6 separate regions of the Mus musculus genome follow, and all the other regions are reported to be linked to region 1. The links are microRNA targets in miRTarBase. Many come from high-throughput screens and were not tested one by one. Region 1 holds a microRNA gene; each other region holds the end of a gene's coding sequence.

The links. The annotated mature microRNA mmu-miR-339-5p reads UCCCUGUCCUCCAGGAGCUCACG and lies in region 1 at 2,151-2,173, opposite strand. An mRNA with a match to its seed (bases 2 to 7 or 8) in the 3' UTR can be bound and repressed. Matches are read on the target gene's strand: a 7mer-m8 pairs with bases 2 to 8, a 7mer-A1 pairs with bases 2 to 7 and ends in A, and an 8mer does both.
Region 2: the mRNA of Aqp7 is a reported target of mmu-miR-339-5p. Seed matches in the 3' UTR shown: 7mer-m8 at 2,119-2,125.
Region 3: the mRNA of Slc25a42 is a reported target of mmu-miR-339-5p. Seed matches in the 3' UTR shown: 7mer-m8 at 3,409-3,415 and 7mer-m8 at 2,734-2,740.
Region 4: miRTarBase lists Grap2 as a target of mmu-miR-339-5p. Seed matches in the 3' UTR shown: 8mer at 2,269-2,276.
Region 5: the mRNA of Kif3a is a reported target of mmu-miR-339-5p. Seed matches in the 3' UTR shown: 7mer-m8 at 2,413-2,419.
Region 6: miRTarBase lists Marchf2 as a target of mmu-miR-339-5p. The part of its 3' UTR that is shown has no 7-base or 8-base seed match.

The regions. Positions count from the first base shown.
Region 1 is chr5:139,367,558-139,372,493 of GRCm38, forward strand. Mir339 (microRNA 339) reads right to left here and starts at 2,188; the gene lies at 2,093-2,188. The region is part of intron 2 of 3110082I17Rik (RIKEN cDNA 3110082I17 gene); the gene reads right to left.
Region 2 is chr4:41,030,425-41,035,360 of GRCm38, reverse strand. Aqp7 (aquaporin 7) reads left to right here. Exons shown (of 8, transcript NM_007473.4): 6 at 108-226; 7 at 390-607; 8 at 902-2,287. The coding sequence ends at 1,115. Among named protein-coding and RNA genes, the nearest start is that of Aqp7, 15 kb to the left of the region's middle.
Region 3 is chr8:70,182,462-70,187,397 of GRCm38, forward strand. Slc25a42 (solute carrier family 25, member 42) reads right to left here. Exons shown (of 8, transcript NM_001007570.2): 8 at 1,879-4,315. The coding sequence ends at 4,008. Tmem161a (transmembrane protein 161A) reads left to right here. Exons shown (of 12, transcript NM_145597.4): 12 at 1-1,220. Among named protein-coding and RNA genes, the nearest start is that of Tmem161a, 13 kb to the left of the region's middle.
Region 4 is chr15:80,647,600-80,652,535 of GRCm38, reverse strand. It overlaps Grap2 (GRB2-related adaptor protein 2), which reads right to left. Exons shown (of 8, transcript NM_001289442.1): 7 at 4,562-4,678; 8 at 1-4,113. The coding sequence ends at 3,934. Among named protein-coding and RNA genes, the nearest start is that of Mir6957, 4.0 kb to the right of the region's middle.
Region 5 is chr11:53,600,476-53,605,411 of GRCm38, forward strand. It overlaps Kif3a (kinesin family member 3A), which reads left to right. Exons shown (of 18, transcript NM_008443.4): 18 at 536-3,771. The coding sequence ends at 584. Among named protein-coding and RNA genes, the nearest start is that of Il4, 16 kb to the right of the region's middle.
Region 6 is chr17:33,687,992-33,692,927 of GRCm38, reverse strand. Marchf2 (membrane associated ring-CH-type finger 2) reads left to right here. Exons shown (of 5, transcript NM_001252480.1): 5 at 775-1,423. The coding sequence ends at 933. Among named protein-coding and RNA genes, the nearest start is that of Hnrnpm, 5.0 kb to the right of the region's middle.

The DNA of each region.
Region 1 (4,936 bases):
GCACACCCTGAGGGTTCCTCCACCCACATCTCCATCACCACTCATGGTTTGCACTGATCCAGGGCTGGCGGAGCAGGCAGCCTCTGTCCCATGCTAACAGGCAAGGCTTGCTGGGTGACTCTGGAGATTGAGAAGAAAACTGGACCATCTCCCAACAGCCTTGGTAGCTAAATTCAAGACTGCCTGGTGTCCATGACAGGGCACAGCCTGTGTGTGTGTGTGTGTGTGTAGGTTAGCTGGTAAGCTGACCTGGAATTATAAAGCCCAGGCTAGCTAGCGTCCCCTTAGGGGCAATCTTGCCTCAGGCTCCCTGAGTTCTGGATGTTGAGAAGAGTCCTGGCCAGGCATTCTGAGCCACACTGGTAAGGGGAGTCTGGCCTGCTTGTGCCTGTTGCTGGTGAGGAGGCTTAACTCTACCATCTGTAAGCAGGGGCATCCTGGTGAGTGGGTGTTTTCTGCCAGCTCAAAGACTCCAGGCGGCACTTTCTCCCTTGCCCTCACCAGGCTGTGTGTAAACCCAGGACCAACCTTGAACCAGGGCAACTGCGTGGGCCTGCTTCTCTTGTTTGTTCCCCAGGTTTAATCAGGAAGCCCTGGTTGAACCTTACTGTTTTTGAAGCCTCAGGCGCTGAGGAGGCACACAAAGGTGGGTGCTGCAGCAAACCGCAGCTTCAAGCACCCCACCACTGCCCCTCCCTTGGGTCCCATGGGGGTAAAAGAGGCCTTCTGTGTAGGAGGAAGGGCAAGGGCCCACTGTCCTTCCCCAATGAAGTTCACAGGGCAGAGAGATGTTCTCCTTCTCCACACAGCTAGAAGGAGCTGCTGGCCCTGGCCAGGGCATCACCTGTGCTGGGGCAGTATGACTGGGGATATTCTCTTAATAGGGATTTGTGCTGTCCTGGGGAGGCAGTCAATGCCCAGCGTTTTTGAGCATCCACTGGGCTCAAAAACATCTTGTTCAAACGTTCTTGGAATTGTGGAGGAGGTTGGTGAATATGTCCTGAGGATTGAAAGTCCAAGGCTAGCTTGAGCTTAGCAAGTCTGTCTCAAACATAAACAAAAACCCCTCAAAGGTTAGTTGTAGACCTTGGCAGTAGAGGCCCTGGTAGCCAGTGCCAGACACACAGCTCTGTAGGACCTTCTTTCTTGGAATGACTGAGTCAGGTGTAAGGATGAACACAGGTGAGGGTAGAAGGACCCTCTGTTGTCCCCACCCCATCATGTGACCAGAGCAGCTGTACTGGGGGCGCAGCTGAGTGGCAGGGAATCCAGTCATTTGACCCGCTTCACACAGGACAGAGTCCCAAGGGCACAGCAGATGGTCGATGGAGCCCAGCACCTGGCCTGTCTATCACATACCCAGGTGGTGCCTCCAAGGCTGGGGCATGGTCTCTGGTCCCTACCACCCCTATACCTGTTCCCCAGACATTGGGAATGGCCTACAAGTGACAGCGATGTTTGTGGGGGGAGACCACGAAGCCTGCTGAGGCTGACGAGCTGGGTGCCAAGGCCAGTGGACTCTGTTCTCATTCCCCAGCCCAGAATCAGCCCTCCTCCATTCAGTTGGAGCCAGCCCGAGTCCAGGGTCCCACAGAGGTGTTCGACCTTGAGAGCCCATTCCGGTTCACAGACCTCAGCAGACTGCTGCCCGGCTATGCACTCACTCGGTAGCAAGATTTCCAGAAGACAAAGCAAAAGCACAACAACATAATGAAGAGAGGGGAGAGAGTTTGTTTTAAAGGAAGCTTTTTATTTGGAGGTAATTACTGAAACACAGTGGATGTAGAAGTGACCCAGGGACACCAACTGCCAGGACATAGGTCACACGCAGTAGAATCAACTGGTGCTACAGAGGACACACACAGAGGGAGAGACCTGGAAGGCTCCCTCCTGGCTCCTCTCCCCTCCCCCTCAGTGTCTGCGTAGGTTAAGATGATTAGGACCCCAGAGGGGTCAGTGCCTTGCGTCACCGCACAGAGAAACCAGAGTCCCCTCCATCCACGGAACAACCTGCAGATCTGCACAATCGAGTTCAAGAAGGTACAGCATGAACAGCCAGCGACTGAGCACCCTGGTCTGCAGGCAAGGGTCTGTGGACAGTGCAGGGGTGGACACCGGCTCTGTCGCCGAGGCGCTCACAGGCAGGCATACGTGAGCTCCTGGAGGACAGGGATAGTGGCCACCCCGTCCAGCTCTGCACAGCTGTGCTCTCACCACCTTGGTGCCAAGGCAAGGGTCACACCCACCTAGGGATCCCCTTCTAGATATGACTTTTCAAATGCACAAAATGTCACTTAAGCCCCATGCTTGAAAAAGACAAAGATGACAGATGCGGCACCCTGCCTCCTCAGTGACCTGAATGGCGGAAGTGAGCAGCAGATCTGATGTATCCCTGAGAAACAGGAGACTGGGCCATCACCAGCTGCCACAGGACACACGAATCCCCAGAGGTGATGTTGTCACCGCCACCAAGCCCAGGCTCTGTCCAGGCCACAGGTCCTTCTGCAGTCACGGCAGAAACACCCTGTGTCACTTACTTGGGGGTTAAACACAGGCTAAAGCCTAAGTCTTGACCTCAGGCTGCCCAGAGAATTAACTTTCTCACAGACTCCAGCACAGACCACAAGGCCTCTAGGCTGTGAGTCCCCGACTATACATCGGTTTTCTTGGCTCTCTGGCCTCAGCTCACCTGACTCAGGCTGACTGGCCCCACCAACAAGGTTATGAAGGTCCCATGGGTTTTCTAGGTCTAACCTCTCCCACTGCTATCTCACATGTCCCCAGTTCCAACACAGGAGCAGACAGACCCCAGGAGCTTGAACAGGGTGCAGATTTCCTTGACTAGGCTGAGGGGCTGGCTCCAGAAGATAAAACTTCCGTCCCTTTGCCTGCAGATCACAGGAACTGGTCCCAGCAGCTCTGGCACAAGTTTAAGTGGGAAGCCCAACTCGGCCATCAGTGAAGCTCCTGGTCCAAGAGCAAGGACAGAGTCAGCCCCTGCCACCTGAATCACGGGCGTGAGGGCGACACACACAACAAGCTCCCACCTAGGTCTACTCAGAAATGGCAGAAAGCAGCCAACAGGCAGGGAAGAGGGCCCTGCAGCGGGGGAGATGGGGAGGTCTCTAATCAGACCCCTGCAGTAGGAGACCCTGAAGTGAAGGAGAGGGAGGGGCTTGCATCTATAACTGAGCATTCCCAGGCCAGGAAAAGCCTGCTGACACAAGAACCTGTGTACTGTGCAGAGCCTGCGCTGCGTCCCTGAGCCGAGCGAGACTCAGTCTCATTTCAGCTGCAGTCTGCCTCCTTCGCCCTAGCTGGAGGCCTTCTTTCTAGCCAGGGCCAGGTACCCACATCCCCTTCTCTAGAGCTTCCCGGCATGCCCACCACCCAGGGATGCTTGTTCTAGCCTGGTTTCCACGTGCCCCACTCCCAATTCTATTTGAGTGTGCCGGTAATCAAAATGCTTTTGATTTTGGCTTCCTCTGGTAGAGCAGCTGTGTTCACACATCCCAAACTGCCTAGTGGACCCCCAAGTGACATTAAGGTCATGGAAGCTTTCTTGCTGTGGCCAAGGAAAGGCCATTTCTCCTGCTACAACGGGCCCAGCAACCACCCTGCAAGCAAGGTCAGATGTCTCTGCTCACCTGGGTAAGTGACTCCCTAGCAATCCAAAACTCCCCACCCCCCTTTTTTTAAAACAGCAGAAATGTGAAGACAGCTCTGAGCCAACGAGGGCAGAGATGACCAGAACAAACACTGGGGCACAAACAACACTCGCAGGATCCTCTATAGTTCCTACTTTTTGTGCTGATCTTGCTATTATAATGCAGAGCGGATTTCTAAAGCTTGAAAAGCCCACTAAGCAAAGTGTGGGAGTCATCCAAGGTGCGGGTGCAAGCAGCTACAACTGGGCAGAAAATGGGGTCTCCCAGGGAAAAAAAAAAAACCAAACAAACAATTATGTACTGTCAAAGACTATCAGCCACCAGGCTTCCACATTAGCTGAGCAGCCTGCGATCCTATTTCTCCTGCGAGTGTCAGCCTGTGAGCACAGCCTGCCAAGTTCTCACCTCCAGACCCTAACTATACCACCTTCCCCACAGACTTTAAGGAGTTCCTGCAGGAAGGCTGACCTGGGAGCAATTGAGAAGGCCTGCAACAAAGTCTGCCTCTTGGGAGGTGGAAAAAAACAAAACAAAACACAAAAACCCAGGCTAGTGGAGCAGGCAAGAATGAAATCAACATTACACAGGGACTTCATTAAGTGCCATAAAGTTTGTTGTTATGCCCCTCCCACTGTTCACAAGCAGTTTTTTGGGTCAGGGCTCTGCACACACCGCGGACACCCAGGAGGGTCCTCCTGGGTGTCCATGTTAACCTGGCAAGTTAACCTGGCATGTTAACCTGGCAAGCGGTCTCAAAGCCTAAGACTCAAAGTCTAATAAGACTATGAGCGGGGCCCAGGCTATGGGCTCAGGGGTGGGAAGGCAGGCAGCGGTGCGAAGGGACACCTGGACGACCTCGCGTGGCTACAGAGCGAGGCCACCACCGATGCCTCGGGGTCACCTGGCGCCGCCCGCGCCTGGCCACGCACTGACCTCGCTCGTAGGCAGCGGGGAGTTGTTGGCGCGAACTGCCGAGACCCAGGACGCTTCACAGCAGCGAGTCGGGACTGGGGCGGAACCAGATCTAGCCGGCTGGACAGTGACGCAGGCGCGCCTGCGCCCTCGGCGTGTGGGCGTGGCCTCTGCCGGGACACGTGCCTGAACCAAGGGGGATTATTGTATGTAGGGGGCGTGGTTGGCCGCATCCTTGTTTAACCTAGGCTGTGGCTGGGGTGTGTGCTCTTGCCAAGCCACCCTCCAGCTTGCCGCGGACTTGTATTCCATAGATCCGGACACGGAATTAGGAGAGGCCCCCAGCGGTTGGGAGC
Region 2 (4,936 bases), not on the chromosome of region 1:
CAAATCCCCAACCCTAGTAGAGTAAAGCCCTTGAACTATTCCCAGCCATATGTTACAACCTCCTTTTGGGACCCCAGTGGGGATTAGCTCAATCTTTGTCTCCACAGGTGCCATTAACCACTTTGCAGGCGGAGACCTGTTGGTGACAGGTTCCAAGGCCACTGCAAACATTTTTGCCACCTATCTTCCTGAATACATGACACTGTGGCGGGGCTTCCTGGATGAGGTCAGTGGCCAGGGAATTCCCACCTCAAGTCCCGCATGAGAAAGAGAGCAGAAGAATTCTGCATGGGATCGTACCAAGACACATCTCTGCCACTGCAGATCTGGGGTCCTGCTGAGTGACTGGGACTTGTCCCCAGTGGGCTGCTCTGGCATTTACTCCCCAGGCATTCGTGACTGGGATGCTGCAGCTGTGTCTCTTCGCCATCACCGACAAGAAGAACAGTCCAGCACTTCAAGGGACCGAGCCCCTCGTGATAGGCATCCTTGTTACCGTCCTTGGGGTGTCGCTAGGCATGAACTCCGGATATGCAATCAACCCATCCCGTGACCTGCCTCCCCGGTTGTTCACTTTCATTGCTGGCTGGGGCAAACAAGTGTTCAGGTACAACCCCTGCCGGACCCCACTCCCGTCAGCTTTTTGGGGTCCCCGTCTGCAGAGGAGTGAACTGTTGGGGTGCACAGAAGTCTTATGAAGTCTCCACGTGGTCTGGGAGGAGGAGGGGCCCCAAAGATCTTCAGTTGCAGATCCTGATATTGGACCGTCAACTGTGTCCCCGATCAGGCTAAGGACAAGAGTCCCTTAGGGTAAATGGTCTCCCTCTGTTGGTCTGAGCTGGATACAAGAGGTATCCCGGGCATCGGTAACCTCAGCAGGCCTCCTTCTTTTTGTCTGCAGAGCCGGAAACAACTGGTGGTGGGTGCCGGTGGTGGCACCACTTCTGGGCGCCTACCTAGGTGGTATTGTATACCTGGGTTTAATTCACCCCAGCATACCACAGGATCCTCAGAGACTGGAGAATTTTACAGCAAGAGACCAGAAGGTAACTGCATCATACAAGAATGCAGCTTCTGCAAACATAAGTGGCTCTGTGCCTCTAGAGCACTTCTAAGTAGAGCTTCTCTTTGACCACAACCGTACTGCAATAAAGCACACCACCTATCAGCGGTCCCCCACTCCTTGGGATCTCCTGCAGCTGAACTCCCTCCTAGGTTTTTCTGGGAGCTTCTGAGTTATTCCAGCCTGGTACTTGTCGTGGAGAGCAGGCTGGCCTTGAACTTGTGATCTTCTTGCCTCTTTCTCCTGAGTGCTGGGGATACAGGCATTTACTACCCTGCTTGGCATATTCCAGGGTGATTCTGGGCTCTTTTCTGAGGACTAGAGCATAGGGTCAGAAGACTCCAGCTCTTTCCAGTTCTAGGAGGTGGGGTGTCAAGGGGGAATGTCTACTTTGGGGGCTCAGGGTGAGTGATATAAAGGGCTTTCGTGCATCAGTATGTGTGTTGGGGGAACAGTGAGAAAAAGACCGGAGGTAGCTGATGGGAGATCAGATTTGGGGGTCTTTGACGGTTTTCTGGATAGGAGTACAGGATCTCCTGGCTTCTCCCTTCCTCTAGTTTTGAGCCAGAGAAGGTAAGGCTAAGAGTTTACATCAGAATTCCTCAACTTTTTTTTTTTTTTTTTGTTAATGACTTCCTCAGTGGCCTTGTAGTTCTCCACCCCTGTTTTTCTTAAAATTATGTAGCCCAGGCTAGCCTTGACTGGAACTCTTATATAACTAAGTTTAGCCATGAACTCTGGATTGTCTGGCCTCCACCTCCTGAGTTCTGGGATTACAGGTGCGCACCACCATTCCCAGTTTATATGTGGTGCTGGGATCAAACCCAAGGCCTTGTGTATGCTAGGTAATATCCATAACTAACTTAAATCCCAGCTCCCCAGTTTTTTCTTTTCTTGTCTTTTCTCTTTCTTTCTCTCTTTCTTTCTTTCTTTCTTTCTTTCTTTCTTTCTTTCTTTCTTTCTTTCTTTCTTTCTTCTTTCTTTCCTTCCTTCCTTCCTTCCTTCCTTCCTTCCTTCCTTCCTTTCTTTTTTTTTTTCTTTTTTTGGTTTTTCAAGACAGGGTTTCTCGGTGTAGCCCTGGCTGTCCTGGAACTCACTTTGTAGACTAGGCTGGCCTCGAACTCAGAAATCCGCCTGCCTCTGCCTCCCAAGTGCTGGGATTAAAGGCGTGCGCCACCACTGCCCGGCCCAAATTTTTTCTTAATTAAAAATTTTAATACCACATATGTACTGTGTGTCTTCCATCTGTGATAAGTATGTGTGTGTGTGTACATATGTGTATATTTCTCCTTTTCCTTTTCTTCCTTTTTTCCCCTTCTGCTTTTTTTTCCTCTTTTGACAGGCTCTCACCATTACTCTGGCTGACCTGGAACTCTGCTATGTAGGTCAGGCTAGCCTGAAACTCACATAGATACATCCACCTCTGCCTTATGAGTGCTGGGATTAAAGGCCTGCACCACCATACTTGGCTGAAAAGTGCTTGAAACCCATTTCCAGAATCATTTTTTTGTATTGCTTGGTATGGGGTGAAAGCTTTTAAGGGTTGGCTTCTAATTTCTTCCTTCCAGTCACTAGGAGGAACTGATTCCAGAGGTGGGAAGGAGGAAGCAAGCAGGCAAATCTTTCAAACAGGGTAAGGGACAGGAAAAAGCCTCCTGAGCTGGAGGGAAGGTTCGGAGGACCAGCTGTTGGTGGCGTCAGTCTGGATTCAGAAGACAGCATCCCTCTGTCCTTCTGTTACTGTCTCCAGCTGCTGAGCCCTTACTGTGTGCAGGCCCTGGGAATGCATGATGCAAGAGGCTGGGCCTTTGCATCTGGGGGCTGCAGTGCCTGCACGTGTGTATGTACGTGTGTGTCTGTGTGTGCATGTATGCCTATGTGTGCTTGTGTGCACATGTGTGCACGTGTACATTCGTGTGTGTTTGTGTGTGTATGTGTGTGTGTTGCTGGGTGGGGAATGAGCTAAGCAAGAGGGAGAGGCATTGCCCCAAGGGTTCTAGGATCAGCGAAAAGATCACAGATATTCTTGCCAGTCAGGTCAGAGATCAATTTTCAGAAGTGCAGACAGAGCAATGTGGTGTCTAGCAAGTGTCCTTTACTAGAATTGAGAGCCACACGATAGCCTGAGTTTATTGATTCTTTCCCCCTATCCATGTAGGTGTCCTAACCTGCTGAGCCATCACACTGGAAATAAGTTTTTTGTTTGTTGTTTTGAGATTCGGTCTCTTTCTGTATCCAAGGCTAGCCTCTAACTGTTAACCCTCCTGCTGGGATCCCAGGCCTGATTGGCTCCTTGCAGTTTCTGGTCTCAGTGTCAGGTCACAAGAGCCTTGACCCCATCCACAGATCAGTTGTCTCTATTCTCAGTTGATACTGGCTGAAAGTCTACACCAGGGCAGACACCACTGAGCTTAAAAGGGCTAGAGACACAAGGACATCCTCGGCCTCCTGTAGTTTATATTCCTGTACAATTCATGGTGTGTGAGACATGATGCTAAGGCAGTGGGAAGATGCAGGGATGACACAGTGAGCCATGTGGATCCTGAGGGAAGAGCCTGGCAGGCTGAAGGTGAAGCCAGTGCATAGCCCATGACTGGGAGGCTGGAGGAGTCACTGGGCTGCAGTGCAAAGATGGTGAAGGGCAGGAGGGGATGAGGTCAGAGAAGTTAGGCCGGGGAGCCTGAGGCCAGGCCCAGGGGATTGTAGAGGACAAGTGTGGAAGAGAGGTTAGGGCATCTCTGGAGGAGAAAGCCAGGTTTCGGTGCAGGAAGGAAGGAAGCAGCCAGTATGGGTGGGGTGGGAGTCACAGCACCTATGGGGCCTTGGGCTTTCAGCTTTGTTCATTATACATTCCTTTCCCATTATTCTTCCTGACCCAGTACACACTGGCTGTGGGCCCCACCTGGCTTTGGGCCTTGTTTTCCCATCTAGACAATGAGATTTGGATCTGTTGGTGTTCCGTGGCCTCCCAGATGACTTTTCCAGACCTCTCTCTTCATCCTGCTCCCTCTCCAGTTGAGTGTGCTGTTGCAAAGGGGCATAGGCATGAGGCAGGGGCAGCTAGTCCCACGGCAGGCCCCTCGCAGACTTTGGAGAGGGTTTGGATCTCAGCTTGGTGGTCCAGCTTTGAGAAGAGTCCCTTACTCCTTGTTTGGCCTGCCCTCTCCCTCTCTCTGGGCTTTGCTAGGGGACACTGGCTACACTCTGCTCTGGGTGGTCTTACTCACCTTCAGATGGAGACTTGCAGGCTGGGAAGTAGGAACAGCCTCCTCATGCTGATGCCCTTTATGTGAGGAGGCTGTGGCCAGCGGCTTTGACTCCACACCCACCTCTGCACTGACCTTGTAGTGGAAGGAGTAGGTCTTAGAGAGATTCCAGCCATCCCATATAATAAGGAGCGTGGGACACTTAAAAGCACAGGAAGCCACCAGCCTGGATCTGAGTCCTTGCTCTACCCTCACTAGCTCTATGACCTGAGGTAGAAGCTCCCACCTCATAGCCAGTGCTAGGAAGACAGGGTTCTTCCGGGCACAGGGGTCTTCACGCTTGCTGCCTTCACTCCACTATCATCCAGTCCTCTTACATTCAAGGATGCTAAGGGCCATGTGTCTAGGCACCCAAGGGTATGACCTCTGCTAGCTTTGGGCTTTATACTGTCAAATATACTATGCAACAAGAATATAAATAACATACAGGAACAATTAAATAACACACACACACACACACACACACACACACACACACACACACACACACACACACACTTCTCATGCCCTCACACAAAACAAGCCCTTATATATAGTCCCAGATGCTCGAGAGACTGAATCAAGAGGTTTGAAGGCAGCAGGGCAACATAGAAACATTTGTTTCAAA
Region 3 (4,936 bases), not on the chromosome of region 1:
GGGACTCTGGCCCAGCATCCATATAGCCCCGGCATCTGTCAGTATCCCCAGGAGGGAGAGACAGTAGTCTCCATGCCTGTCTCCCCAGCACACTTGGGGAAGCTGAGGTAAGAGGGTTAGCCTAGACTAGTAACAAGACTATGTAAAACAAGAAGAAAAAGGGGGCCGGGGGAAGCTTGAAAGGGAAGAGAGGGAAGAGGTTGTCACCATCCTCCAAAGCTGTGAGGATGACTGCTGTGTTTTGAGGTCTTGGTGACTAAGGGTCACCTCCAACTCCAAAGTTATTTTTTTGCTATGACTTAGTGTGTTTACGTGTGTATTTATGAGATATGTGTGACCTTCCTACATATGTAAAATGTGTATTGAGAATAAAAAAGGAGGGCTTCTGCAATGCTGCCTTACCATGGTGCCAGTGTGGTCTGGCCCAGTCATGTTCAAGAGCCAGTGCTCAGTCAGAGCCTTGAGCCTCTGGGTCTCTGTCCAAGAGGACTTAGGAGTGTGACTGCCTATGTGCTGTGAACACAGGTGCTGTGAACACAGGTGCTGTGTATGATACAATAGGTCCATGTGTGAGAGCAGGGATCAGAGGACAACTTAGCATGTAGATCCTAGCCTTCTACTATGAGACAGGGTCTCTTGTTTACCTGAGTCCCTCAGGTCAGCTGTCCAACAGGCTCCAGGGAGTCTCTGGTTTCTGCTTCCCACCTTGCTTGTAGGAGTGCTAGGATTATAGACTAGTGCTGCTGTCCCACTTTATGTGGGCTCTGGGGACTTGAACTCAGGTCTTCATGACTGCAGCAAATATGGCTGACGTGTGTGTTATGAATCAACAGGATGTCCTTGAAGGGCTATCTGGAGTCCCTGCCTCCCAAACTGACCCTGACAAGGGCTGCAGGACCTTGTGGAAGTCTCATGGGAATCAGGGATGCCCATGCTCTGCTGTGGATTTCAGAGTGTAGGGGCACACGACGTACAGGGCCCCACCTCCTTCAGCTACATGGCTCAGGGCTGACTGGGCCTGAGCTGTGTTTCAGAGCAAGGTCCTTAGGCTTCTGGCCGATGCCCATTTGCTGAGCATGATGGAGTATAGCTGATGACTCCAGAGGTAGTTGGGCCAGCCAGTGCTATGCAAGAACTAGAAGCCAGCATGGATTATATTTCTCAGATATTAAATAAATCCGAGCCATGTTGTTGGCAGATTTAGCTACATGGTTACTGTATTCCTGGATCCTTATCTTTTTTGTACTGGCAAAAAAACCCCAGGGTCTTTTGTATAGTAAGTGCTCCACCCTTGAGCCACGCCCCCAGCCCCTCACTGGGGGATTCTAGGCTGGGACTCTACTGCCCCAGTCTAATGTTCCATCTTTGGCCATCAATTTCATCCCCAGTAGCCTGTGTCACATTTACATCTATGAACAGAAAGTTGCACAGAGCACTTGGACAACACACCTGCAATCCTCAGCTCTCTTTCACAAGGATGGGGGGGGGGGCTGGAGAGATGGCTCAGAGTGAAGAGCACCGGCTGCTCCTGCTGATGATCCAGTTGTGCGAGCACCCCATGTGATCATCTGTAAGTCTAGACTAAGGATCTGCTGGCCTCCTCCGGCACTAGGCCTGCACAGTTATGCAAAGCACCCATACACAAAATGCCTTTTTAAAGTAGCAAATAGTGGCCATGCAGTGGTGCTGTACACCTCTAACCCCAGCACCCGGGAGGCAGAGCAGAGAGGCTAGCCTGGTCTACAGAGCAAGTTCCAGGACAGCCAGGGCTACACCGAGAAACCTTATCTAGAAAAATTAAAAACAAAAGTGCTAAGTAGCTTGACCCCGTTCATAGAGTGGGAGGTGGAGCCAGAGTTGAAGAAGTAAGAAGCAGGAGATATTTAAAATTTTATTAAATATACTCTGTTGGCACAAATCTTCAAAATATATAAACATTATATATAAACAAAGTGTCTTTATGGCATCAAAATAGAACTCCAGACTGGACAGTGACCACGGAGGAGGGCAGCCACAGAGCTACTGGACAGTGACCATGGGGGAGGGCAGCCACAGAGCTACTGGGGGGATATGGGGAAGCAAGAAGATCAGGGACCCAGGACACCCTCACTTCTCCTGCCCTGCTGGTTGCCTGATGCAGGGCTCAAGCCAACCATCTACATGGTGCAACCTGCTGAGGTGACCCAGGAGCCTCAGTCACCTCCGGCCTCCTGGTAAGGGATGCCTAGACTCTCCATCCCAGGTGGGGAAGGGAGTGGCAGTACACTCACGAGAGGACAGTCCCTCTCAGCCACCAGAGGCTGCCGGGGGGGGGGGGTGTCTGGGGACATGGTGGGGATGGCCCATCACTATCCGCGGAGGCTGAGAGATGGCCAAGCGTCACAGGCACAAGGTAAGAAATATAGAATGAACAAAGACTGCAGCAAGAATTGCAAATGCCCAGGGCTCGAGCCACCCTGCTCAGGTCCTGCATGTGAGATGGCTGCCATCCAGCTGTGGGAATCAACACCCAGATCACCTCTGAGCCAGAGCCACATTGCATAGGAAGGGTAGGGGTTTTATGTGCAGACCTGGGGCAGGATAAGTTGAAAACTAGAAACTAAAGGTAGGTGGGGCAGTGGTGGCGCACGCCTTTAATCCCAGCACTTGGGAGGCAGAGGCAGGTAGATTTCTGAGTTTGAGGCCAGCCTGGTCTACAGAGTGAGTTCCAGGACAGCCAGGGCTATACAGAAACCCTGTCTCGGGAAAATAAAATGAGAGAGAGAGAGAGAGACAGAGAGAGAGAGACAGAGACAGAGAGAGAGACAGAGACAGAGAGAGAGAGAGAGACAGAGAGAGAGAGAGAGAGAGAGAGAGAGAGAGAGAGAGAGAGAGAGAGAGAGAGAGAGAGAGAGAGGAAGGAAGGGAGAGAAAGAAAAAAAAAGAAAAGAAAAGAGAGTAAAGGCAGGAGGGCTGCTCTAAGTTGAAGGCTAGCCCAGATAACACTCAGAAGCAGGACAGCCAGGGCTTCTGGCTAGGACTGTCTCAAAGACCCTAAATCAAGAACCCCAGACACCAGGAAAGGCAAGAGTTTCCTGTGACACCTAGGGAACCCAGTGTGTGGGGGGGTTCTCCTTGTGTCAGCTGGCTGGTGGTCCCTGGATACCCCAGCCTTTCCCTGCTCCCCAGGTCATGGATACATCTGTACTCATTCACACAGGAAAAGCCACCCACCCATCTTTGGGCTTCATGTGGCCTGGCTAGATGACAGCCACAGAAGGCAGTTTCAAGAGCTTGAGCCCTACCTCCATGGATGCTGTGCATATAAGAAGCTTTGGGCCTGCATTCGGCCTGATTGGTGTACTTTGGAAGACACCCCAGATCAGTGATACCCACATGGGCATTTCCAGTGGGGTCTGAACTTGACACCCCTGTCTGGTGGCCATAGGGCCTCCTGGAAAGGTACAAGCCAGGTAGTTGGCAATGGTCAGGTGCAGCCCTCGGAAATAGGATGGGCACAGTGCTCTGGGGAGAAAGCTATGTGGGCAAGAGCAGCCATTTGTCACCTGGGAGAGGATAGGCAGGCATGGTGGAGGATTGAGGAACACAGGTATAGCCACCACTGAGCAAACTGTGACCCTCCAGTGTGTGGCTTAAAAGGAATTGCTATCACATCTGCAGGCCAGGCACGGTCATAGCAAGAAGGGATGGGCTCTGAGCCCCGGGTGCCAATGGGCACTAGATCAGCAGCAGGTCAGAGGACACAGGGCCAGGAAGTGCAATTGACCCATTAGGGGCCTTTGGGTAACACCTCAGGAGACTCACCAGCCAATAGCAAGGAACTGAAGGGAGGGGACAGCCAAGATCCATCATCACAATGTCACACCCTGAGGACCAGCACTTCGCTATGGGCCCTACAGCCCCAAGTCAGGTCCCGTCCTCCTGCCCACCCTCAAGGTACCACAGGGCTGCGAGCACACAGCTGCATGCCCCTGCTCGAACAGCTCACCATCCACTGTTGTGTTAGCCTAGCTCTGCAGCCGGCGCAGCAGGATCTGCATGAGGTCGAAAGTGGTGAAGCTGATCCCCACGGCAATTGGGCCCTTCAGCCAGTTCATGCTCAGGCCCTTGTAGAGGCCCCGCACCGCGCCCTCCTCACGTACAATGGAGCGTAGTGTGCTCAGGATGGAGCCGTGCTGGTGGCCCGTGACACCTGCTGTCTGCATGCGCCGCCGCACCACGTCCAGAGGGTAGGAGGCCGATTGCCCGATAAGGCCAGCACAGGCCCCGAAGACCATGCGCTCAAAGGGGTAGGGCTGCGGGCGGCCACTGTACTCTGCAGGGCAGAGGGCACATGAGTGCCACACTTGAAGAAACTAAGGCCCCGCTTCCTGGCCACCCTTTCTTAGTTTTGATGCTGGGAATGGGACCCACATCCTAGCCTAACACAACACACACTTTGCAGCAGTGAGACTTACACGGTGGCCCAGGCTATCTATGTAGTAGTTTCCCCTCACCTATTGGGTACAGGTCCCCATTCTGCAGTTTTCAGTGCCCCATCATCTGTGGGGATGAATCCCAAGATTCTCCATGGATGCCTGGACCCTTAGAGTACAGGGCTACACAGACAGTTTCCTCCTACATGGAGGACGTGCCTCTGCCTGACTTTCGTAAGCTAATGAGGACTGTAGCGATGTGCAGGGACAGCTGTGTGAGTGTAGTCTCCATCTTAGTGTCCTGCTAGGGACGTCGGGGCATCTACTGCTCCATCTAGAGCCCTAGCACAGCCCATACCACAGGAGAAGAACAGCCAAGCATGCTGCTGTGGATTCTCAGATCATGGCGGCCAGGGATCAACAACCACCTGGTGCAGGTGCAGCACAGGCTCAAGGAACCTCTGATGACAGGTTCTACTGTCAGTTGGTGTTCTGTGACAGGAGTGTCACTGGCTAGCCCA
Region 4 (4,936 bases), not on the chromosome of region 1:
ATTCATTAGACACATATCTACTGACAGCCTTCCCCATGTGCCATGAATATATAAAGTATCTACAAAATACAATGACCCCACACACACCCCAAGAAGCATACAGTCTAATGGTCACACCACTCGATCTAGTGCCCCCATCTGTGTGCATGGTGTTCAGGAAAACCATGGGACTCAAGAGGTAATCTAAAGATGTATTTTATTCCACATGGGGGTGATGAGAGGAAGTGACGTGTGAACCCAGATCTGAACAGCAGTCAGCTGGAAAGCACAGGATGTGCATCCTGGGGGGACCCACAGTTATGACTCCCCCTTCGGAAGGTTCTTAGCCATCTGGAGGCTGAAGGAAGGACAGTGGGGAAGGGGTATGAAAGCAAGAGGAAGTTGGAGAGATGATCCCGAAGGGGCCAGACCTTGCAAGACCGGGCTGGGATTTTAGGTTCAAGGATAAATGCCTGTGAAGAAAAGTGGTGTGATTGGGTTTGTCTGTCCAAAGATTGCCTTGGTGTCTGAGTGGAGAGTGTACCAGGCACAGGAAGGAATGCAGGGCAACAAGTACAGAAGATAGTGCAGTTGCTATGGGAGACAGAAAGATGCCGCCGGCTGGGAGATGAAGTGGAAGGACTTGAAAAACAATAACAAAAATAAATTTGTTTTAAAGAATTGCAGTGGTAGATTTTTTTCACACTCTTGTCTTACAGATAGTCACATTGAAACTAGACAAAACAATTGTGTCATGCAATTATTTTGACCAGGACGGTCTGTCCCTTGTGTGGGCTGTGAGCTGAGATCTAGTGATATTCCCTGCCTTGCCCAGAGCCCAAAGTGATGGACATTGATTTTTCTCTTTCAGGATTTCCTGAGAAGTCTTCCTGCACCTTCCACAGCTTCTGCTCCTGTTAAAGTGATTTCTAGTAGGGAATTCCTGTGTGAGTCTCCAGCCAAATGCCTGTCACTTGGAAAATTTCTGATCCCCGATGAAGATGTAAAAAAGAAGTCACTGGCCGCCAAACAGGAATGGTGTCATAAAGACAGTAACGAGTTGTGCCTGTCCCAAAGCCAAAGTGACTTATTCGCTAGCAACAGAGAGCAGTGGCTGACTATCCCCAGAAAAAGAATCCAATTAGATTTGTGAGACCGATGCCCTTGCTGATCAAAGCACCTGGGAGCTTGTTAGAGATAGATATAAGGCTGAGTCAGAGCCAGCATTTTAACACGGCCCCCAGACAATGCTCACATACTTGAGATCTTGGAAAGACTGAGACCATGTAATGGGGAGTGGGCCATGGTAGCTGCTGGATATTCGAAATGAAGTGATTTTTCAGCAAGTGGGGAGGAAACTCTGATTGGTCAACAGGAACTGGCTCTTCTTAGAAGTTCTCTGCTCAGATGTCATGAAGTCGCACCTATGGTGTGTCGGCCAAAATCAGAGACCGTGTACTTGCAGTTGGCTGTGCAGCCAGAGAGAGAGAGAGAGAGAGTTGGGGGGTATGATGGCTCATGCTCTCTTCCTTACCTACTTCCCAGGAAGCAGTAGCAGAATCCAAAGAGATCTGAGCCCCAGGTAGACAGTTTGGTGCTGGCCTCCTAGGCTCAGCCCCTGGGAGTCCTTGGTCTCCCTTCATGGTTTGGGGTGACTCTCCTGTTCCCTTTCGAATCGAACCCTGCTAATGAGGATACCTCAATAAAGAATTCCTCCTACCTTCTCCCACCAGGGCTCCTGCTAGAACAGGATGCCTGTTCTAGGGGTTTTGCTGCCCCAAGGTGAGGAGTACCCCCTTCTCCTAGGGCTGTGCAGCATGAGCACCAGATACAGGCTGGCAAAACTTTATTACTGTATTCTCATAGAGTATTTCAAGGCATAGTAACTAGACCAGAACCAGGCTAGTCATCTCTGCCTCAGCCAGGGCTGCTCCTCCCACAGAATCAGCCAAATGGATGAAGTTTGTGGGCTGTTGGAAAGCATATGGTTTGCAAATACTGTAAAACCAAACACCACTTTTGGCTTTTATTTACTGTAATGTCTCACATCACCTACTACCAAGCTTGGGCCCACTTTGCCTCAGCTTCCGGCCTCATTTTTCCTCCTTGGCGCCTTCTCTGCCCTTCACCTCCTCCTGATGCACTCTTTCCTCACCTGCTGGGGGGGGGGTGTTAGGGGGGGGGCTCCTACCTTCTCCGGGGGAGGGGTAAGAGTTCTTTCTGTACCACCTGCCCATGTCTCCCCTTGCTGCCCCAATTGATACTACCCCACCCCCACCCCCCACAGTCTCCCTGTCTCCCACCTGCCACCCATCTTCTGACACTGTCTCTGCTTTCCTGTCCCAGGGCTGCAGCTGCATCCCTGAGCCTCCAGGCTATGATCTCTTCCCTCCTGGTCCCTCTCTTTCTCTCTAAAGGGAACCTAGGGATCAGAAGATTGTTGAATCAGAGTCACAAGGGACAGAGTATGTGCCACACTGCAGTGACTCCTGAGTCACAGACTGTTCTTTTGTCTCCCTCACTAACAGATGCCCTCCAGTCCCTCCCTAAAGCAGGAGGGGACAAGGAGACAGCCCCCCTCCCATCACATATGCTTACCACCCCTTTCACCCAGCTCTTCCTTTCCTATCTTAGAACACACACACACACACACACACACACACACACACACACACACACACGACTACACCAACACCCTTGTAAGTACCTTCTGTTCTGACATCTTTACTCCCAGGCTGCCCAAAAGCACTGGGCTTCCTCTCCAGAGTCCCCCTCCCCACCCAGCCAGGCTTCTCTGTGCTCCATTCCCCAGGACACACAATTCTAGTTTAAGGTGACAGAGGGACAGTGGCAGTGGGCTTCCTCTTCCCAGGTGGAGGGAGGATAGGGGAAGGCCTAGCGCTCAAACAGAAGAGGAAACCCATTTCCGTGAAAGCTCCTGTCAGGGTTAGAGTCAGTCTGTCAATTTATCAGTCGATCCACAGTCAGCACTCTTGGCTTCCCTTTCGTCCACTGGCAAAGATGTCCTCAACCACAGAAAATCAGGAGCAAAACCCAATTGAGCTCCACAGAGACACTCTTGTAACCACAGAGTGAGGCTGCTGACACATCCCACATTCTCCGCCAGGGCTTCTCCAAGCACTTCCAAGAATCTAGGCTGCAGCTTTCTCTGCAGCCGAGGAAACAAGTTACATTCAAGTAAGCCACAAGGGCCTGTGGAGAACCTCTGTGGCATCGCTCCGTTCTAACTCTCCTGTCAGCCGTAGGGGAAGAGGATTGCCCAAGGGACAGTCTCTGGTGGAAAGTAAAAGTCCTAGCCAGACATCGGCTAGGCCTGAGCCTGCGTGTCTCTCCCACACCAAGAGGAGCCTCCCGACCACACCCTTGCTGGCGACCTGCTCAGACTTGCCTGGTGCCTGAAGCCCTGCATCTGCTACACCTTAATTCTCAGGGCGCAGCGCCTGCTCTATGCAAAAGAGGGGAGCTACCCTGTAAGTGGACAGAGCCAGGTGAACTACCTAACGTGCCTCGCCAAGCCCAGCCTTGCCCTGTTCATCCATCCCTGGGGTGTGATCTCTGCTGAGCTGCCTGCTCTCTTGGAAAATTCCCAAGCCAGGAAGGAAACGGTGAAAGTTTGAGGGTTGGAAAAGGTCATTTCCCCGCCCTGCTCCCAGCTCCCCACTGCCCTCTCAGGCAGAGAAGAGCTGGCAAAACGGCCCCCTCGCCACCCAAGTTCCTTCTCATGCTGATCAACGAGCCAACCTGCCTGCCAATAAATTACTATTATAAAATGTCGTGTGTAGCCATCGGCATACATATACATGTTTTGTGTACTCGGGCACACATGCACATGTATGCATGTATGTGTCATTATAAAGTTCAGCTTTACCCCCTCGCCCCTCTCTGTCTTGCAGGCGGCTTTGGACGAAAAGCCCCTAAGCCTTGCAGTACGACTCATCGCATCATGGGGGCCACATAGTTGGCAGGGAAGAGACCCAGTTTGTTGTGCAGACGGCCGGTCCACCAAGATGGGTTGGAGCTGTCCAGGACTTCAACCACTTCTCCGCTTCGGAATCCCAGCTCGTCCTCTTCCAGAGCCTCAAAGTCATACAGTGCCCTGGCCCAACGCACCCGCTGTAGGAGAGACAAGAGATGGGAATGAGCTCGGTAGGCTGGTCTTTGGTACGACTATCACACAGAGGAGCCGTGAGCTTCTAGATCTATTCTGAGTCCTCCGAGCCCTTCCCAAAGGCTGACTTTGCAGCAATCTAAAGCAGACCTGATATGCACAGCCCTGGGCACCAAGCTACTGGGCCGTACTACCTTTGCTCTTGATATGGTCTTGTTCTGCTACTGTGGTACAGGGGATGGAAGCTAGGACCTCATATATGTTATGTAAGTGCCCTACCACTGGGTAGGTCCCAAGGCCACGTGTACTGGATCGCAAGGATAAACCTCACGCATCCCCTGCTGCCAGGAGATGGAGAAGAGCGTGAAAGCCCAATAGTCTGAAAATAGCAGCCTGGATGAGCCAGGCTGAGCCCTCTCTGGTGAGACCTCCTCGCCCTCTCTGCTCACTCACCCCTGCTGCCTGGAGTTGTACGGGGTCGGTGTGTCTCCGGTGCATCAGCGTGGCGTTCACCTCACTTCCAAGGCCGCAGTGTCCATCGTTTATGTCCAGGCTGCCCCCACGACGGTCCTAGAGACATGAAGGAGAGGGCCGCTGCAGGATCAGTAGTGGTGACTCTCACAGACTGCCCCAACCCTGTGCCTTGCTTGGGGGTGCTGTCTACTGAGATAACACCCAAGAAGACTTGCTGGCCATCATCACCCTTCATCTTGGAAAACACACAGGAGGGAATCTGAAGGGATCTTAGATTCTGAAGTCAAAGATGATGGCCTCCATTTATTCAATGAAATCACAGTAATTTGGGGAGTCTTGTGTACCCCGAGCCTC
Region 5 (4,936 bases), not on the chromosome of region 1:
TAACTTAAGGTAAAGAAAATTCTTGTGGGCCAACATACGATGCAAACTCAACTCTGTAACAGGCCTGGAGAAAAACAAACCTATAGTTTTCCTAAGAAATGAGAAACATGCAGTGCTTCACGAGAGGCAGGCAGTTGATTGTGCTGGACAGCAACAAAGAAGGCCCATGAGATAGATACTCTTGTAGGCTCTGCATCTGGGAAATGTGACTTCTTTTCCTGCTTCTCTGAGGCTGCCTGTACCATTAGCATCCTTGGAGGAGATGACCAAGGGGCACCCTGATAAGTTTAGCTGCCTCCTGACTACTGCACCTTGTCTGCCCCGCTCAGCTCAGCGCCTCACCACTCTAGAATGCCGTGCGTGTTCTCGTGCTTGCTCTCGGTGACCTACTCTGAAAAAATGGGTAGCAGTCAAACTTTGCCATGGTCAATCATGGGCAGTGTTGGTCCATTCGTGGACCCACGCCACAGAACTGCTGCCAGTTCAGTCTCTTGGGAAAAATCACTCACCTTGCACTTTTTTCTTCTCTTAACAGAAAGCGTTCTGCAAAGCCTGAGACCGTAATTGATTCTTTACTTCAGTAAATGTACAGAATTAAAGTTAAAATAATAAAAAGAGTGCTGTCCCATGCCTGGAGAGAACTCCTTAATTAAGACACGAGGACAACTGTATGGTTCACATAATGGAAGCTGTAAAGCATGGAGAGAGACTGGAAATAGCAATTTTCCTAATATCTTTTAGACTCTTTAAGTGTCTGTAACATGTAAGTGCGCCGCAGCTCATGGTCGTTGGGCATGGCGCACTGTGTCTGTCACACTGCTCTGCAGGAAGTAAGGGTTCCGTTGTTGTACGTGAATGTGCGTTTCTTAGCTATGTATTCAACTACCGTGGCTCTAGACAAGCAGAATCTCAGACTAGAACCAAGTCTGTCTTGTTTGCACACAACATATAGCAGATCACCTTGTCCTGTGTCCTGTGTCCTGTGTCCTGTGCCAGTCTGGGCTGCCCATCTAAGCAGTGACTTGATTCTGTACCTGCCTGACCTGTCTAAATGCAGTCCAACTTTACACTCATCCTGACTGCATCTAAGTGTGCAATGACTACCTTGATTGATCTCCTGTGGAAAACTATAAAATCTGACAGCTCTGCAGGCTTACATTCTGAAGATGCAGTTTGTGTGCTCGCCTGTGCACCCTCCACTTCTGTAGCTCTGACTCCACATTCAGCCATTGTTGTTACTAAGTTGGCTCCCCACTTCTCCTGAAGCCAGCATTAGCCACTTACCCTTGCTCACACACACATTCTAAAACATTCCCTGGACATACAGCTTACAAACACTTCCTTGTCTGAATTTTAAGTTTGATGGAAATAACTATAAAAAATGAGACCAGGGGTTGGGGATTTAGCTCAGTGGTAAAGTGCTTGCCTAGCAAGCCCAAGGCCCTGGGTTCGGTCCTCAGCTCCGGAAAAAAGAAAAAAGAAAAAAAAAAAAATAAAAAAAAAAAAATAAAAAAAAAAAATAAAAAATGAGACCAGTCTCATTTTTCAGAAAATGAAACAAAGTAAAAAAAAAAAAACCTTTTAATTTTCTTTATTGTATATATAAATTTTATATATAAAAATACTCTTCTGGATTTCTTGCATTGATTAATCCAGTTAGATGGAATTCCTCTACATAAAAACGTTAATACTCACTGTATAGTAGGGTAACTTGTAATAGAGAAGTTTTGGTTTTGTTGTTTACGTATATAATTTTTTGAAGGTCATGTGCTTCCTAAACCCAAGTTTGAAGTTATACAATCAACTCTGAGCTATTGATTCCAAAAGTTTTGAGACTTCCCACGTGAGGATAAATTAAATTGCTATGATTTTAACAAGTTTGGATAAATACTGACTTACAGCTACATTGCTCTGTGTGGCTGCGGATGACTGATCAGAGGGGCATCCCTGGCGAGAGGTGGAAAACATGGCCGGACAGTTTTAGGCTCTCCTGAATTAGAGCCCTGAGTATCCTGGATGTGCAGGCTGCTGGTGTTAGCATGGCGTGCGGCAGCATCTTCTATTGTGAGTGTGGCCTGCTGTGACTCAATGAGCTCTGTGTGTGTGTGTGTGTGTGTGTCTTGCAAAGGCTCATGTGAGCTGAGCATCTTGGTGACGTCAAATTTCGCAATGATGTAAATTTACATGTTAGTAATTAGAAGAATCTATATGCCTTCATTTTAAAAGTCCATGTTTCTATCATTTAGCAGTTCAGTTGGCCTAGAAGGAATATCTGCTGTGAATTAAGCTAAAACATGAGAGAAATTAAATCTAGTTAAATCAGTAACACAAGTAACTCCATAAAACTAACAATTTAGAAGCTTCTCTAAGCATCTTGACTTAGTAATTTTATTTGCTTGCTTGTTTTTTTGAGACAGGGTCTCTGTGTTAGCCCAGGCTGGCCTGGGACTCGTCGTAATCCTTCTGCCTCAGCCTCCCAGGTGCTGAGAATGCAGATGCATGTTATCATACCAAGCCATATGTTTATTAAAGCATTGATGTTAAAACTCTAATCAGGTGGACATTGTTCATTTTCTGAAAAACCAAATTCGATTCTCACCAGGTGGGGAGGTCTGTTGAAGAAGGTAGGAAGCCCACTTCTGCCACAGCCATGCTGTGGCTGCTTCTCATGGACTCTGTCTTCATCTGCAAATGGAATCATTTTCAGTGTTAATTCCATGAATGGATAGAGATGTAGGACAAACTTAATGTTTAAAATAAATGTACAGATTTACATGAGTGGAACAGATCTATAAATAGGCTATTGATACATAGCCCTTTTTCTTTGATTTAAAAGGTAGTATTTATTTATTTGAACTGTATAGTGTGTTATGGCTGGCTTTGCATTTACATACCCTGACAGTTAGGCTCTCTCCACTCAGTGTCCACTGTGATCTTAAGTCTTGGCTTAAAGGAAGGCTCTGCAGCTGCTGTTTGCCCCCAGAATCCTCTGGTAAGCTGTCTCATTTATATTCTGGAAAAGGTGATTTTCAAATTTATGTTTTTGGCAGCCAGAACATCAGGGTTAGTTTGGAAGGAGAGGGGGAAGTGTTACTTCATCTGCAACATGTTTTAAAGTGATAATTATAGTTTCAGCGATTTTATTTCCATTTTAAGTTTATGTGGCCCATCCCCCTTTTCTCTTTGAACTCTTAACACAAGGAACACCTTTTTTCCTTATAGAGCTGTGAATTAAGGAATGGGCAGAGTTTACATTTACACACACCTGTGTCTGCCCAGTTTCTCCTCTCTCCCCTCTTCCATTTTGAAATAGAGTCCAATGTAGTCCAGGCTGGCCACAAACCCTCTGTGTAGCCCAGGTTGGCCTTTAAGCTCCTTATCCTCCTACCTCCATCTAACAGTTGCTGGGATCATACTTATGCACCAGCCACCACACTGAGCTTTGCCTCCACCCCTTCTTAACATACATAATTGTTCTCTGTCTTCCTTTTTCTTAAAATACTAGAACCCATAGTTCTTCTTAGTGCCTTTGAGCTGACCCTGCAGTCTGACTAATTAGAATCAGTGAAACCCTGAGTAGTGTTACTGTAATGCTGTTACCGACCAGGAAACAAACTGTACAGAAAGTTGGCTGTGTTAATTCAAAATCCACACTTGAGCTGTATTTAATGTATAAATTGTACTTGTCCAAGCTGTATATATCAATGCTGTGTGTACGTGCAGCCCAGGAGGATGAGAAATAAATGCCTCCCCATGCCTAATGTCTTTTAAAACATCTTTATTCATTTATATTTTGCCGTGTGTGAGTGTCTGCCTACACGTGTGTGCACCACATGTGTGCCGTGTGGCTGGGCTGGGATGCTGACTTTTGCCATGGCTGTGTAGATGGGACCATCTCCCTTCATCCTCCCCACCAAAGACCCCGAGATGTACAGTTAGGGCAGAATTACATACACCTGGTTGGGGAGAATGGCTGGACACTCAGGTGAGACTCCAGACAGCCCCAGAGGCCTCTGGGAAGAGGATGTCTTCACGGTTTCCATTTCCTTTTTAAAGATTTTGGGTGGTTTTATGTGTCTGCATGTCCCCAAATCTGTGCTTCTGTATTGTGAGTGTGCCTGGTGCCTGCAGTGGTCAGGAGAGAACATCAGGTCCCTCAGAACTGGACTTAGGGACAGTTATGAACCACCACGTGGGTCCTAGGAACCAAACTCCAGTCCTCCACAAGAGCAGCCAGTGCACTTTTAACTTCTGAGGTGACTCCACAGCCCTCAAGTTTTTCTTTGATTGATTGAACTGTTAAGATCTAATGGTTGCCTCCTTACTTCTTGCCTGGTGGATTCTGAATCACCATTTCCTAGTCCCTTTCTTCTTTAGGACAAATGACAGTAGTTTGGGGGTGCACACATAACGTGCTCACATGTGTGCAGGTGCAGGCCTCTTACTGTTCCAGGGCTCGCTGGTTAGGCTGGGCTAGCAGACCATCAGTCCCAGGGTGCTTTTTTCTCTGCTTCCCCAGGCTGGATACTGCCATGCTCAGCTTTGTACAAGAGCACTGGGGCACACTCAGCACCTTACCTGCCGAGCGCGCTCTCCAGCCATGCCCCTTCCCCACTTTTAAGATTTTTATTTTTGTGTTGAATGGGGGTGGGTTGGGGAGGTATGTACACATGAGTGTAATTACCCATGGAAACCAGAAGGGGGTGTCAGGTCCCCTCAAACTGGGGTTACAGACAGTAGTAAACTGCTCAGCATGGGAGCTGGGAACTGAATTGCAATCCTCCAGAAAAGCATCCCAGATACCCTTTTTTGAGACTGATTCATTTAGCCCAGGTTGGCCTCCAACTCTGTATGTAGCCAAGGATAGCCTTCAGTTTCTGATCATCTTGACTCTCTACCCACCCCCTCCTGAGTGCTGAGATCACAGGCAGAGGCC
Region 6 (4,936 bases), not on the chromosome of region 1:
TTCTACATCTTCATCTGAAAGCTGTTGACAGAGTACTGGCTTCCAGGCAGATCTTAAATCCACACCCACATACCTACCCCAACAGGTCCACACCTTCTGATAGTGCCACTCCCTGGGCTGAGCATATACAAATCATCACAGGTGTGTGTGTGTGTGTGTGTGTGTGTGTGTGTGTTTGTTTTTGTGTGTAGGAGGGTATATATGTAGGTATATGTGTGTGTACACATGTGAGTGCTACCAGCCATCTAATCCTAGCAATTCTCTTATCTCTACCTCCCTCTCGTCCCCAGTTTTGGGGTTACAGGTATGGTACAGGGTCTTGCTCAGCTTTTTACATGGATGCTGGGGATTTGAACTTATGCCCTCAAGCAAGTTCTCTTACCCATTGAGCCATCTTCCCAGTCCAGTAAATGCACCATCATTTTTATCCTCTTACCTAAGAAGAGACACCTTGGTTGCTTCCAGGTTGGGCAATTTTGTGATTGGTTGGGGTTAAATAATCCCAAGAGACTGTTAAGGCTCCATTCTCATCAACTGTTAGAGTCATGCTCCCTCCTGGGATCAAGGTGGTAGATCCCTCATGTTTACAGGACTCGGAGCGTATCAGAGTATCCTCAGAGGACCGAATGGGTGAGTGTATGCATAGTATTCAGGAAATGCCCAGAGGTGGCACTGCTTCTAGGTTTGGCCCATGACAAATGCCAGGGCTCCCTTTCCTCCCCAGGGTGGAGGCCTGTCTCTACCTCCCCACCCACTGCAGGACTGCCCCCGCAGGTCTCTTTCCGATACCATTGCCAGCTGTACTCGGAATGGAGGAAGACAAATCAGAAAGTCCGCCTGAAGATTCGGGAAGCAGATGGCTCCGAGGATCCACATCACTCCTTGCTGGCTACTGGACTCTTAAAAAAGGTGGCAGAGGAGACCCCTGTGTGAAGGCCTGGCTGGCAGGGCTCAGAGGTAGTAGACAGACCAGAGTCAGATGGCAATGCAGCTGGCATTTGGAAAGATGGAGGCTGCCTGACTTTTCATGCACAGCTATGATGCTTCTCAGGCCCGTAGCCACAGCCAGCAGAGCCTGCTCTGTGATCCCGTGTGAACATATTTTCAAGGGTTTTGTTTTGCACATTGTTGTATATGACAAGCACAGATGGACAGATTTGAGCTTTGGATGGAGTAGGCACCTCTGTCTCATTTTGAGATCTGTTTGACACCTTTTGCACAGCAGCTTTAGCGCTGGTGTCAAGGGCGCCCGTTGGACTAGAAGGTTCCAGCAAGCTTCTTGCGTTACTCTGCACCTAGCTGGCTTGCTTTACTGGCACTCTTGACTTATAATCTTATAAAGTTGCACTGCATTTCAAAAACCCACCCCTGAATGAATAAAAGGAGCCCTTGCTGGCTAATATGGACGCATCAGTTATGTTTCTAAGCTGTTCCAAGCGAGTGATTCTGTGGGGGCACAAAGTCTAAAATGCTTGGCTTGTTCTGTGGGGACTGTATGAAGCTTCTTTTCTTCTCTTCTCTTATTGCTATGATAAAGGACCTGAAGTGGAGGGACAGAGATGGCTCAGGGGTGAAGAGCACTGGCTACTCGAGAAAAGGACTGGGGTTTAATTCCTAGTGCTCTTCACAGCTTGTAACGGTCTCCAACTCCAGCTTCAGGGGATCCAGTGCCTCTTTAGGCTCCCATAGACGCTGCTCACATATGGTGCAATACATAAGTGCAGGCAAGATACTCATACACATAAAATACAGTTTTTTTTTAAAAAAAGTAACTTAGCCCTGGGACTAAACCACCACTCAAAGAAAACACGTGGTGGGACTCATGGCTCCAGCTGCATATGTAGCAGAGGATGGCCTAGTGGGTCATCAATGGGAGGAGAGGCCCTTGGTCATGTGAAGGTTCTATGCCCCGGTATAGGGGAATGCCAAGACCAGGAAGCAGGAGTGGGTGGGTTGGGGAGCAGGGGTAGGCGGGAAGGGGATAGGGGATTTTTGGAGAGGAAACTAGGAAAGGGAATAACATTTGAAATGTAAATAAAGCAAATATCTAATTTAAAAAAGTAATGTAAGGGAGAAAGCACTTAGTTTTAGCTCACAGCTACAGGTACAGCCCCTCATGGTAGGGAAATCAAGGCATAATTAAGTTGGGTATTTCTATATCAATCAGTACAATCAAGATGATCCCCATAGTCATCCCCCGAGAGGTTCATCTCACAGGGGACTCTAGATTCTGTCAAGTTGACAGTTAAATCTAACCAGCATGGAAGCCTAAAGAAAAAATAAAGTCAGAGTTGTTGTTTTTGTATTTTTTTTTTTAAATAAAGACTAGGATTCAGGACCTTGGGAGACAACTCAGTAGTTAGAGGGCTTGCTACACAAACATGAAAATTTCCCATCTCTATAACCTATATAGATCAGTAGTGTGTGTGTTTCTGTCCTCTAGGAAATCCTAGTAGCAAGCTGGCTAGCTAAACTAACCATATGGGCAAAGCTCTAAGTACAGTTGAGACACCTTGCCTTAATGTATAAGGGGGAGAAGATGAGTGAAGACACCAACATTAGCCTCTGGCCTCTGCATGCACATGCACAGGTTTGAACAGGCATGCACTTGCACATATATGAGGGAAAAAAATAAAAGAACAAGAAATGAGGTTAGCTTATTTTTTATTATCATGTTAAAATGTATAATAATAATAATAACTATTATTATTATTATTATTGTTATTTTGCTGGAAGAGGTCAGAAGAAACCTTACTAGTAGAGCAGAGTCTCTCCTACCTTCATGTGGGCTCCAGGGATCACACTCAGGCTATCAGGTTTGCACAAGTGCTCTCATCCATTGACAACCCACCCCCCACCCCCGCCACTGGCCTGGGCAGGATTTATGGTGAATGATCTTTTAAAAATATTTTGTAAAGATTTTATTCTTGTGTAAAAGTGTTTTGTTTTCCCTGCATATAAGTGAGTGTTCCATGTGTATGCAGTGCTCAAGGAAGCCAGAAGAGGCCAAGAGATTCCTTGGAACTAGATGGAGTTAGAGATGGTTGTTAGTTGACATGTGGCTGCTAGAAACAAAACCTCTGTCTTCTAGAAGAACAGCAAGTGCTTTTAACCACTGAATCATCTCTCTGGCTACAATAAATGATTTTTTAAAAGTTATATTAAGCTGGGTATGGTGGCGCACGCCTTTAATCCCAGCACTCGGGAGGCAGAGGCAGGCAGATTTCTGAGTTCAAGGCCGGCCTGGTCTACAAAGTAAGTTTCAGGACAGCCAGGGCTATACAGAGAAACCCTGTCTCGAAAAAAAACCAAAAAAAAAAAAAAAAAAAAAAAACCACCAAAAACCAAAACAAACAAACAAAAAAGTTATTTTAGCTGGTGATATAGTTCAGTGATTGAATATTTGAATAACAAAGACAAAGTTCTGGGTTAGATTCCCAGGATCATTAAATAAATTAAGTTTTTAATATAATTTTAGTGCACACATACACAGAAACACACACACAGTCTCTGAGTAGCTCTGGCAGGCTAGAATTCAAAGAGATCCTCTTGCTTCTGTCTTCTGAGTGCTGTAATTACTAAAGGTATGCATCACCATGCCTGGCAATACATATATTCTCTCTGTCTCTCTCTCTGTCTCTCTCCCTATGTATATAATATATATATGTTATTTATATATACATATATATTTTTAAATGCTACTGGGGATTGAATTTGAGCTTCACATAGTCTAGGTAAATGATCTACCATGGAGTGATATACTCAGCAACAAATGACTTTAAGAGTAAACCAAGTTGGGGGTGGGTGTGTGTGCTGAAGAAATGGCTCAGTGGTTAAGAGCACTGGACTGCTCTTTTATTGAAGAGGACCTGGGTTTGATTCTCAGGATCCATGTAATGGCTCACAACCATCTGTATCTCTAGTATCAGGGGATCCAACTGATACCAAGGATACACATGGTACCAAGACACACAGGTAGGCAAAACACCTGTACACATAAAATAAATCACAAAGGGCCTTTTGTGGTGGTGCATATCTTTAATCCAGCACACAGATTTAGAGGTAGGCAGGCAGATCTTTGTGAGTTCGAGGGCAGCCTGAAATACATAGCAAATTCCAGACTTCCCATGGCTTCATAATGAGATCATGTCTCAAGGTAAAATAAGCCATGTGTGGTGGCATATACCTTTAGTCCCAGCCAAGAGGCAGAGGCAGTAGGAGCTCTTTGAGTTCAAGGCTAGCCTGGTCTATATAGGGAATTCCAGAACAGCTTAAATATTTTATCTTAAACAACAGTGACGACAATGGTAACAACAATAAAACAAACAAAAAGCAAATTAATAATAATAATAATAATAATAATAATAATAATAATAATAATAAAAACTTGACAGTATACCAGGGCCATGTATGTAACTCAATTGTACAATCTTAGGATTTTACTGCTGTGAACAGATACTATGACCAAGGCAACTCTTTTTTTTTTTTATTTGTTTGTTTTTCAAGGCAGGGTTTTTCTGTATAGCTTTGGCTGTCCTGGAACTCACTCTGTAGACCATGCTGGCCTTGAACTCAGAAATCCGCCTGCCTCTGCCTCCCAAGTGCTGGGATTAAGGGCATGTGCAACCACTGCCCGGCAAGGCAACTCTTATAAGAACACCATCCAATTTCGGGCTATCTTACAGCTTCAGAGATTCAGTCCATTATCATTAAGGCAAGAGCATGGCAGCATCCAGGGAGGCATGGTGCAGGTGGAGCTGAGAGTTCTGCATCTTCGTCTAAAGGAGGCTAGTGGAAGACTGACTCCCAGGCATCTAGGTCAAGTGCATTAAAGTCCACACCCACAAGCCTACATCTACTCCAACAAGGCCACACCTACAACAGTGCCACTCCACGGGCCAACCATATACAAACCATCATAGGTACAAAATATTTT